Arabidopsis thaliana: one gene and its partners. Each later gene encodes a partner of the first gene's protein in a complex. Each region holds a gene or a part of one and is shown in the gene's direction. Other genes may lie near its edges.

Region 1 (4,395 bases):
ATTCATAAGACGAAAACTTCAAAATTCTGTATTGAATGGAAATCGTTTTCCACTCAAGCCAGTTATCTATCAGTCTTTCTGCAAGAAGTGACGGTATATTCATTTGATTATCATCTTCTTGCATTGACAACAAGTAGACAGAGTGAGATCAATAAAACAAAAAGAAGAGAGTTCATTGAAGTGAGCATACCCATTTGAATCCTTCTTTGTCTTGAAAAGAAGCACCTATTATGCTCTCTCCAAGATTGGCAATCTGGGAAGCTAGTACACATACAGCTGCTTCTGGAGGAGTTATCTGTGTTCAAGATATCAAAAGGAAAAGAAGTTTAAAAATCGTGTAATGATAACAGTCTTTAGTAGCATAAAGAAGCTGTGAAGGGAAATTTTGGTAGCAAATAACACTATTACCTGACCCAGGAAGCAGCCAACAGATGCAAGAAAAAATGATGCTAAAAGTCCAGCCAATGTTCCTTCAAGACTCATAGCTCCCTCTGTTCCTCTTGGTACAATCTTAAATGTCGTAGCTAAATACCTGCGAATTGGCAATGGTTAGTAAGATCATTTCAGTTGTCGATTGGATTCATGTCATGACACCACAAGTCCATGCCATACATCAGACAGAAAACAGACACAGACCATAACAGAAGAGGCTATAGCTGGATAACAGTAGCATACTCACGTTGTTTTTCCATAAGCTTTGCCTATCTCGCTCGAGACAGTGTCAGATACTTTAGTGCAGAAACTGGAAACAAAACCAAGCCGGAAAAGCTGGGAAAAAGCTGCTCCTCCCACTTGATATATTGAAAGAAAAGCACAGACACAACCAGCAGCACTTGAACCAATCACACTGCGTGGTCCTCTTCTACCCTTTCTCTTTTCGGCCACACCTTGTGCTTCCTTTTGCGTCATTTTAACCTTCGTTGCCGCTGTTCCCTGTGATATTGTAAATCATCTAAACCAACTTCAGCGCCAGAATCAATTGCAAATTTACTGTTACTATTTCCAGCTCTGGGGTGAAACACGATATTGAAATCTAAAACTTAAAGCATTGCAGAGAAAAGACTAAGTATCTCAATGTTGAGCATGATCAGAAAAAGTAGCTCCTTAATCTGTAAACGTGATTTAGGATCTCTAACACGTCCACAATTCCTAAATTAAACAATAACACATCTAAAATCTAAGGACATTCTTCATTCATCAGCTCGAAATCAAAATCAAAGCAGCGAATTTCTACGTTCTAAGAGTCAGTTACCGAATTACATTCAGGTTGATCACAAATGCACTTACTATGACGAAGTAAGCAGCGACTAAGAGGAAACCAGCAGAGCCATAAGCTCTCCAAGTTAAAGTACCAAGCAAAAACGCGGCGGCGATCCCAGAAGCGGACAATCCGGTAACAAGAAGCGGTGAACCGAGAACAAAAATCAATAAATTGTTAGCCACAGCTGATTTCCAAGTTGGTGACGCCGATTGAATCAGTTTCATCGCCTCCGTCATCACTCCTTCCATCGATGCAGCCGCCGCCGTAGCACCGTCGGCTCTACTTCCCGACGAAAGCATTCCGTTGGAAAGTGGTTCCAGATTACGTCGTCCAAATCTGTAAGATCTAGCGAATGGAGAGGAAGAAGAAAATCCCGAGAATTTTGGGAATCTTAGTGGTAAAGCTGATCTAGAAGAATTTAAGAGTAGAGTTGACGAAATCGTTGCCATGACTTAGCTTGCTTCCGAAGAAGACCTTTCTCTCCTATTGAGAAAAAAAAAACAGTATTTCGGGTTGAATCCGGAGCTCCGAAAAAAACCCGGATCCTTAACCCGTGTTGTGTTTATTTTTCGGTCGTATTCATCAGATTATTTACGGTGTTGCCACTACTACTATTTACTGAGAACCCAATCTTATCCGAGAAATCGGAAAGAGCAGAAGAAATTTGCAGAAGAGAGAAAAACAAAAATGGCGGTTCTTTGCTCGTCTTCGACGGTGATACTCTCTTCTTCTTCCGTGAAATCCTCCGGAAGTGAGAGAAAGTCTCCGTTTTTAGGGTTCTCTTTAACGGCTATCTCGAAGCCGTCGGTACGAGTCGGCATTTATGCGAATTCGAAAAGAGGATTGCAAGTGAAGTGTGAAGCTGAGCCGACGACGACGACTTCTCTTGTTCCGGCGAATCAACGATGGATGTTCGACGAAGAAGAAGCTAATGGCCCTGTAACGATAATTTTTCTATCTCCCTCTGTGTTTAGCATCTACGCATTTATAAAGTGTCGCACTTTAGCTCTTGCTTTGAATTTGAAGTATGGCTTGTTTTTTTCTTCTCCCAATTGCGATTTATTAAGTAGTGGATTTTGCCTTTGACTCATTAGCTGTGTTGTCTGCATCAATTGGCTTCGAAAATTGATGTTTATTCTTCTGAATTTGTTAACTTGGACGTTTTATGAAATTATTAATGTTTGGTTGGAGAGAAGTTAAAAGTCTTTGGCTTGAAACCTTTATTGAGTGTATTCTATGGTTTACAGGACATCTGGAACACGACATGGTATCCAAAAGCTTCAGACCATGTGAACACGGACAAGCCCTGGTTTGTGGTTGATGCAACTGACAAAATTCTTGGTAGATTGGCATCGACAATTGCTAATCACATCCGTGGGAAGAATCTTGCCTCTTACACTCCTAGTGTCGACATGGGAGCTTTTGTGATTGTGGTATGAGTTTCTTTGAGCTATCTGTAGAGAATAAGAAATTTGATGTGCTGCTTTAGTTAATTTCTTCCTGAAGGAGGAGCCTTGGGATTTGGTTTTAGTAAGATTCACATTAGCAGCAAGATGTAGAGCCTCTATGTAGATGTTTGGGCAATGCTTGTAACTTGGTACCTCTAATACTGTTTTCAATTGTTTGGTTAAAGGTGAATGCTGAGAAAGTTGCTGTATCTGGAAAGAAGCGTAACCAAAAGCTGTACAGGAGGCATTCAGGACGACCTGGTGGTATGACAGTAGAGACATTTGATCAATTGCAGCAGAGAATTCCTGAAAGAATCGTTGAGCATGCTGTTCGTGGAATGCTTCCAAAGGGACGGGTTAGATACATAATCCACAGCTCTTTATTAGTCTCCTTTAAGTCTTAACACTTAGCAAATCCGTGTTTCTTCAAACTTATGGATTGAACTTGGAAACTACTTGTTGCGATATTGGTATTGATTGATTACTAGTTTTCCAACTCCCTCTTAACTTTGGTCTGACCATTTTGTGGCAGCTTGGGAGAGCTCTGTTCAATCACCTGAAGGTGTACAAAGGCCCTGACCATCCTCACGAGGCCCAGAAACCGCTTGATCTGCCTATCAGGGACAAGAGAATACAGCTGCAAAAATAGAAGCTCCACCACTGTTCCATTATCGCCAAGCGCAGAGAGTTTTTTCTTCTCAGGTTTCTGTAGTTTCTTCATCCCAAAACCAGAGGAGGCTTTACAGATTCTTGTTTTCGCTTCTATCAACTCTGTTATGCTACAAAACTTTCTAATTTGAAATATTTCTCGTTATTTTTTTTTGCTACTGAATATCTTCTTCAACATGAAAAAGATGACATGTAATGAATACAAATGCCATAAGCAACAGTAGTCACCATTAACAAAAACTTCCTCTTCAATTGGTAACAAACCTTCCCAATGAGATCACAGATGCAAGGAAAATCTAATATTCATGCCTTAATCGAGTCATTACTTAAAACTGAAATTTTTAATGCTGGATCCAAAATTTGAATGTTAAATATACATAATAATAGGAAATACAATTTGAATGTTTGGAATCGCTAACGACTAATGCTAGATCCAAAATCCGGTTAGTATTCATATCATTATGTAAATTTTGCATCCAAATAAATTTAAAAACAAACAAACAAACACAAAAGATTTTTAAAATCCGACAATAAACAAAATCAAAATTTTAAAAACTATTTTTAAAAATCCAAATAAAAATCTTGAATGTTAAATCTACATAATAATATGAAAACAAGTTGAATGTTTGGAATCGCTAACGACTAATGTTGGATCCAAAATCCGGTTAGTATTCATATCATTATGTAAATTTAGCATCCAAAAAAATAATATTAAAACTATTTTAAAAAATGCGAAGTAAAACCTTGAATGTTTAATCTACATAATAATAGGAAAAACAAGTTGAATGTTTGGAATCGCTAACGACTATTGCTGGATCCAAAATCCGGTTAGATTTCATATCATTATATAAATTTAGTATCCATTAAATAATATAATTTTAAAAAATAAACACATGAAAAAAGATTTTTAAAATCCGAATAAACAAAATCTAAATTTTAAAAAGTACTTTAAAAATCCGAATGAAAAACTTGAATGCTAAATCTACATAATAATATGAAAACAAGTTGAATATTTGG
Region 2 (4,198 bases), on another chromosome or scaffold:
ATTCCTGTATATAAATGAGTGATGAGCAAATGAAGGTGCTTACAAAGTCAACACCAATGGTGCTTATGTAGCTATCCAGGTAAGAATCATCCTGTCCACATAAAATTCAAGATATCAGGAAATAAGAACACAAAGGAGTAACAATGATACCATAGTGAGAACTAAGCTAATCCAATGGAGTAATGACTTTTGAGTTTTGAGTCTTGAGCAACAGGTATTGAACTCCAAGATGTGATCCTCAAATTTTTGTGTGTACACAATGTTAAAAAGTAACTACCAGAGATGATGAATCCAGAATTGTGGGAATACTTACAGCAAATCTTAGAAGCAAGCATGATTTTCCAACACCAGAATCACCAATAAGCAGAAGCTTGAACAGATAGTCACTGCAACAACAGAACGGTAAACACCAATCTCAGTGAAGCTCATAAACTCATGAAAATTCGGGTCAGGAAATAAAAACGCAAGAACATCTATATACAATATGCTAATGAGATCAAAGGGAAAATTGTGTCACACTCGCGAATTTCAACTACAACAGTAAACAGAAATTGCAGATCTCGATCAAATTTCCTCGGATCTGACCTGTATAAGATCCATGGAACGAAAATCCAAATCTATACAAAATTCTAATACAAAATACCTTAAACGAGCAAAATTAGGTAGATTCAATTCACAAACCTAACAACCAACAAAGATCCAAAGCAAAATCGAACAAAAACCAAATCACCAAACACATCAAAAAATAAAAAACGCGGATCGATCCGAAACAATAGATACATGAAACAACGAGAAGACAAGTTTCTTACTATTCAGGATTCATTATCCCTCAACGAGAATCTGACGATTAAAGGAATCTCCGGCAGTCAATTCAGCGATCGTCGTCGGCCAAAAAAACGAGAGAGACGTGAATGTTCTTTTTTTTTTCTTCTATGTGGCTTTGGCTTATTAAGTGCTCTTTTTGTCAATGACACGGTTAAGAAAAAAGAAAAAAAGGGACCCACTCTTTTCGACATTTAAATGCGTTTTGGTTTTGATGTTTGAATGCTGACGTGGCCGAGCCAACTCAGAGAGATGCGTGGAGGACAAAAGAATCAATCAATCTTTTTTCTTCTTCTTTGTCGATTTTTGTTCTTTTCTTTTTTGATTCTATACAATCGGAGAATAACTATCTTTAGGAGATTAAAATTTCGTATCCAATTAATGTAACTTTTTATATGTATGCTAATATTACGTACTGTTGTCAAGCTTTTAATTAAACCACCTGTAAGAGAATATATATTCGTTTCACAAAGAAAGAAGATGGAATATTTTGATTATTATCTTTTTGGTATTCTGATTAAACTAACATATAATAGCTTTTCATCGCTTGCGGTGTAAGTCAATGTAACGTGAACATGTAGACGACTTGAATATACAACATAGTCACATAGAATAATATTTCAACTCCAGCAGAAATTTATTCGTCAATCATAACTTTTAAAAGGCCCAAAGTAGATTATTTAGAGCTATCAATTTAAGGACACATAAACATACATTTGTTTGTAACAGAAACTCTTTATTTAAACCATTTTTGGTTCTACATTAGTGTACTTGGACAAGCCTTGGTTCGTGGTGGTAGACTGGTAGAACCAGCTTTGGTAATGGGTTTCTTGTTATATCAATTGAATATGGGCCTAAATGTCTAGGCCCATAAAATTAGTAAATGGCCCATAAATTGAAATACACGGAGCGGATAAGCGATAAGGCTCTTCTTTACTCTGGTTTCGAGTTTGGGTTGTGCAAACATGGCGACGAGCTCTCATCTTCTTCCTCAGGTTCTTCTTCTTCACTCTCTCACGCTCAATCACATTTTCATACTTATGCTTCTTTGAATTCTGTATTTATCTACCATTTATGGAACCAGGCATTGCATATGATACCGAGAACCCCTTCTTTCTCGTCGAAGAATTTAGGGGTTTCTTCAATTCTACCACGAGCATCATCAGTGAACTCAAGACTATCAGTTTCTAGGGTTTTTCTCAATCATTCGAGCTCCAATTTTGGTTTCGCCATCGATTCCAAGAAGAGAAAAGAGTTTATCGCTAAAGCTGAAGAGAGTACTGAAGGTGAAACTGAGGCTGTTGTGGAGAATGCTGTTGAAACTGAAGCGGAAGGAGAAGGAGAAGCCACTGTTGCGGCGGAGGAAGCTAAACCTCCGTGGAAGACGAGAGTCAAGCTCGGAGATATCATGGGGGTTAGTTCATTATCCAATGTGATTCTATGAGATTGTCTAGTGTTTTGTTTTGGCTCTGAATCTGATTATACATGTCTGATACTGTAGTTGTTTTGGCTCCTGTTCTTAAATCATCAGTTATCTTTTAGGCATTGGAGAAATGAAATGTTGATTTGCTTTTTGTTTCTGTAGCTACTGAACAAGAAAGCTATTGAGGTTGCAGAGACTGTAAGACCGGTTCCTGGACTTAGGACTGGGGATATTGTAGAAATCAAACTGGTAAAACTCATTGTCCCCGTATAATCTTATGCAATTTATGCATTTAACTGCAAGATTTTGATACGACATGGTGGGTTTGATTTTACAGGAAGTTCCTGAGAACAAACGTAGGCTATCTATCTACAAAGGTATTGTGATGTCTAGACAAAATGCAGGCATCCACACTACTATCCGTATCCGGAGGATTATTGCAGGCATTGGTGTTGAAATCGTCTTTCCCATGTAAGTTTATTCTTCCTTAACTATCCTATTATCACACACTTACTCGGGTATATTGATAAGTATAAATGTAAATAGTATTAGATAGTCAGAGTTAAGGGTCTTTGACCTTGTTAAGGAGTCTTTTGGCTTTGAGAGAGATTTTAGGAACTCTAAAACAAACCGGAATTAGCTTCTTTTATCGTGAACAGTCATAGTCTTCGCTTCTTGAGAACTTAAGAGATTTACAATTCTATATCTGATCATATGTATTAGCTTTCTTCACGAAAAAAGGAAATAATTGCTACTCCAAGTATGATACTATAGGAACTAGTACATAAATGCTGGAAGTCTTAGCATTATAGGTCACCAAGCTTTGTGCTTATTTACTACAGAAACGCGCACCAACCTTTAATCTTAATCACTCTAGAGTCTAGCCGTTATCATAACATACTAGTCCCTATGAACTTTCCAGTACTATTGGCTGATTCTACAATGAAGTAATATGTAACTGATATGTTTTGATCTTGAACAGATACTAATCTACACAATCAAGTAATATGTTTTGATCTTGGTTTAGAATATGTATCTGATGTGATGTGTGTTTTGAATTTAACAGATACTCTCCCAACATAAAGGAGATAAAAGTGGTAAGTCACAGGAAAGTGAGAAGAGCAAGACTTTACTATCTGAGGGACAAACTTCCTCGTCTCTCAACTTTTAAATGATCACCAAACCCAACACCAGTCTTGTCTTGTGTTGTCTTCAATCTCCAAAGGTAGCTAGCTACTCTCTTTTCTCTTGTAATAATTGTTTGTTTGTTTCGTCTTTTGGATTTCATTTCTTTTCATGTAATTTACAGTAACAGTAATTTAAGAAAAGTAAATCAATGTTGATTGTTTTGATCTTGAGTATGTAGAATCTGGACCCTTTAGTATTCTTTTTCAGAAATATGACTGATTTAATCATTAAAATAAAACTTTTGAATCATTGAAATTGCTTTTCAAAATAGATTTTTTACATGTAAAATCATGTAATTCATTCATGTAAATGAATTTTCCAGCTAAAGCAGGAAAAAAGAAACGAATGATTGAGTATTTTTCTTGTCTCTTTCCTCTGTATGATGACTTTTATGTCCGATAATTAATTACTTGCTAACAATCAATCATTAATGGACACGGAGAAATAAATTTAAAATATCATCAATCGTGAGAGACGAAAAATGGCCTACCACCCTGAAAGCTCATTATAGCCTTTTTAGCCACTATATAAAATCAAACACCAATCAATATCTGCCACGTCATCATCCTCTTTTTTCCAGCCTGTCGCTTTTAACCTTTGTTTTTTCGTCTCTTACAATGCACAACTGTTTTCACACGTGTCACATTTTTCCCTCTCTTCTCTCTCTTTCGCTCTTTCTTCTTCCCCGCAGTTCCCGGAGACGACGCCGGAGGAAAATCGTACGGAAACTTTGCTTCGACTTCACGTGGCCGCTCCACGAAGCGC
Region 3 (3,367 bases), on another chromosome or scaffold:
CTATTAAATAATAATCGATCGTTTTTCATAAAGGAAAAGCTTGTTTTACGTATCTTTTAAAATTTTCTAGATAATATATAAATATTTCCGACCAAGATCAATTTCCTTTAATTAAGGTCCGAAATAAAAATATTGATAAACAAAAAAAGTATCCAAAAGATTCCTGGTATATTCATTTAGCTGGCATGGCTAGTGCAGTACAAAATACAAACTCTAATTCCAAGAAAACAAAATAACGCAATAATGCAAAGTGCAAACGGACGAGAGCAATCGATTCATATATGGTTCTCTTCTCGATGTAATGCAATCACATGACTAAAACTGGCTCAAATTAGGCCTTTATACAAGACACTTACCTGTAAATAGACTAATATTTGTTTATATAAAACCATCAAATAATATTGTAAACAAATATATATATATATATGTATGTATGTGTTATATATATGTATGTATGTGTTATATCGTGTATAACTATTTAATTTGTTTAATTCACTTGTTCGATTGTATCTTCTTCTTAAACTTAAATCATCTTTTGGTTATATGTGTGTGTCTAATAACTATGTAATCTTTCTTTCAATTCTAATAAAATAAAACAAGATGTTAAAAAAAAAAAAACTATTTAACTATCCATGGTTGATGACTCGTACTTAAGACAAATAATCAAATTTCGTGATTCTAAAAATGAATGAAATTGATTGATATATAAGTGGGATTAGAAAAAAAAGAGTCAGATAAGTGTTATCTCGCGGTTATAATTTCAACGGTGCTAAGATAAGGATAAGGTTTGCGAAACTATATACTAATGCAACAATGGGTACCGTAGGTTTGTGATACCTAATTTGATCTAACCAACAGAATCTCTTCGTACTAGTGTAATCGAGTGGCTGAGCTGTTGATATAGAGATACGTAGTACTATTATTGTAAATAAAGAACCCAAAGAATCAAATTTGTCGACAACAAAATAAGGGGTGATAATCCGATGCACGTGGATTTGGTGAATGTATTGGATAATGCTAGTCACGTAGAAGAAAGTAATCTTATTTTGGGCCATAATTTTAGTAAATGTTTTTGAGTCTACGTAAAGAAGAGTAATTTTCATGGCAATCGCAATTTTCGCTGACAATTGATTATTTTGATATAATGTGAAATTGGTTAGGTTGGTGATAGTAGCTAGTTTGAAGCCTAACTTAGGCTTGTTATTGAGGTATAATACATTATTAACCATAAGTATTAGACAGGTTTTGGACAAATATATTTATTGGTCGCTTTGGCAGCATTGAAAAACCCTAAAAGCCACTAGAATGGATGTCTTCGAATGTCAGTTCACATAAATGTTCGCTAGCTTAATTTTATTTTCTTTTTTAAAAGAGAGGAAGCAATGATAACATAAACATTTTTATAGTGTTTTTTTTGAAACAAAAAGTTAGTTTTCTTCCTCAAATTCGATAACTAAATTACACCATAAATGAGAATATGTTTTTAGTTAAGTAGTTAAATCCATTTGATTCTACCTTTTTTACCAGAGTTTGACTCTACTAAGTCGTGTTACTTCGCATAATAAGGATTGACTATGAATCGTGTCTTGTTTATAAAAAAAAGAAAAAAAAAATTACACAACAAAGTTAAGAAAATTCAAATTTATTAATTTAATAAGCATACTTTGAATATAAATAAATCCTAAAACTCAAACTAATAAAAAAAGTATTTTTTTGTGTAGTATTAAAAGATGCAGAATCCGAAATAATGTATTTTATTGTAGAAGTGATTCAAAAGACCTTATCTCGTAGTCACTTGTAGCATTATTGGTTTAAGGTTAAAGAAAACATTTAAAACTCTGTATACATCATACATGACATCTTTACAAATTGCAAAATATACATTTTTAATCAGCTACTCTATTCTTAAATTCCTTTAATTAACGAGGTTATACAGTTCGATACGTTTAAGCAACAAAAAGTTCGATGCCACTAATAATTTAATTTTTGTTCTCTTCTTATCTTATAGATTGTTGCAGCCTGCAGGCTTGCAGCATAACGAGTTACATAACTATATACAAAGGCCCAATAGACACCTCAAAGGCCCAATAAAAAAGCCCAGGAAAAACGAAAACGAAGATATGAAGTTCTTCTCTAATCCGAAGCAAGAGGCTCAAACTCACTTTCACTTGCACAAAGATAAGGAAACCATGTCTGTGTCAGCGATCTTTGGTACCGGAATCGTCACCGTTGCTGCTTCTCCGGTTCTCCGCCAATTTCAAGTTCCAAAATTGGGTAATGGAGGAGGATTAGGGATGGTGATAGAGTGTTCGTCGAGGCCACAGAAGAAATCGACGGCTCATCACAGGAAGACGAGGCCGAAGAAGACTCAGCCTTGGGACATTAAGAGAAAGCCTACTGTTTACGCTCCTCTTCCTCCTCTTCCGGCGGAATGGAGTCCGTTCACTCTCGCTTCTGACGACGGTGGTGCTGCCACTGCTGCGGGAGATTTGGTTTCAGGCGCTGCCTAGTTGGTATGAGTTATCTGCTGATTTGGTTGTAATCTAGTTTGAGAACTTTTGTTGTTGTTTACTGTGTTTTCAGTTTTCTGATGTTTGTTGTTGGGTTTGTTTGTGTTTGATTGGTGAATGAATGGACCAAATTTGCGATTTATAAAGCTTCAACCTTTCTCCTCTGTTTTTGAGTTTAAAGGTCTCAACTTTATAGTTTATAGCTCTCGTCATTGTCATCTATGTTGCTTCTCTATAATTGCTTTTTTCCTTTTGGGTCTCATTAATTTCTGCAAGTAGTAATTGAATTGGGATGACAAGAGTTTAAGTTTGATATGTGAAAATGAAAGCACAATGGTATCTGTTTTGTGGCGGTTGATGCTGGAGTTGTTGTCAAATGCTCTGTTTGCTGCCATAGCAATGGGAATGTAGCTTCTAAAGAGTACGGTATAGTATACCGCATTATTGGAATTTTAAAATTTCCCTTTAGATTGGATTCAGGTGAAACGGCAATGTGCTCTGCTCACCATAGTGCAACACTTGGTCTAAACACTCTATTGTAGATTTTTAAGCCAAGTGATCTAAAGTGTGTTTGATGAAGAGTTTCAGCAAAAACATTTTTAGAAATGTTTATATCAGTTATGGGTTGATCACTCTGATTCTTGAATCTATCTTGTATCGGTCTAGTCCCAGGAGAAATTTAGAAGATCGATTTATCTTGCATTGCATGTTTATGGAGTCAATTCCAAGATCAACATCAATGGCTATACATTTCATAAAGCACGCATACAGAGTACATCCCGTTGAACCCATTAAACCCTGACACCTTAAAAGCTTAAGTCAAATCATCTGGAGAAATACACAATGAAGATACAAAT

Evidence for each region. Proteins that work in one complex are often made in the same cells at the same time.
Region 2: emb1473 (region 1) and AT5G47190 share a complex: the UniProt entries of both Arabidopsis thaliana proteins name them as parts of the 50S ribosomal subunit.
Region 3: emb1473 (region 1) and PSRP6 share a complex: the UniProt entries of both Arabidopsis thaliana proteins name them as parts of the 50S ribosomal subunit.

Annotation. Positions count from the first base shown.
Region 1 is NC_003070.9:29,574,049-29,578,443, forward strand, and holds emb1473 (Ribosomal protein L13 family protein), read left to right. Parts: upstream 1-1,757; 5' UTR 1,758-1,948; coding exon 1,949-2,200; intron 2,201-2,508; coding exon 2,509-2,694; intron 2,695-2,894; coding exon 2,895-3,065; intron 3,066-3,241; coding exon 3,242-3,358; 3' UTR 3,359-3,832; downstream 3,833-4,395. Other genes in the region: AT1G78620 (integral membrane protein (Protein of unknown function DUF92, transmembrane)), read right to left, coding at 191-295, 409-532, 680-933, 1,261-1,710.
Region 2 is NC_003076.8:19,163,654-19,167,851, reverse strand, and holds AT5G47190 (Ribosomal protein L19 family protein), read left to right. Parts: upstream 1-1,716; 5' UTR 1,717-1,787; coding exon 1,788-1,817; intron 1,818-1,906; coding exon 1,907-2,236; intron 2,237-2,407; coding exon 2,408-2,494; intron 2,495-2,582; coding exon 2,583-2,716; intron 2,717-3,311; coding exon 3,312-3,420; 3' UTR 3,421-3,668; downstream 3,669-4,198. Other genes in the region: RAB1A (RAB GTPase homolog 1A), read right to left, coding at 44-91, 314-386, 810-823. UniProt on the Arabidopsis thaliana protein: Located at the 30S-50S ribosomal subunit interface and binds directly to 23S ribosomal RNA.
Region 3 is NC_003076.8:5,905,628-5,908,994, forward strand, and holds PSRP6 (plastid-specific 50S ribosomal protein 6), read left to right. Parts: upstream 1-1,961; 5' UTR 1,962-2,120; coding exon 2,121-2,510; 3' UTR 2,511-2,837; downstream 2,838-3,367. Other genes in the region: CSA1 (disease resistance protein (TIR-NBS-LRR class)), read right to left, coding at 3,247-3,308.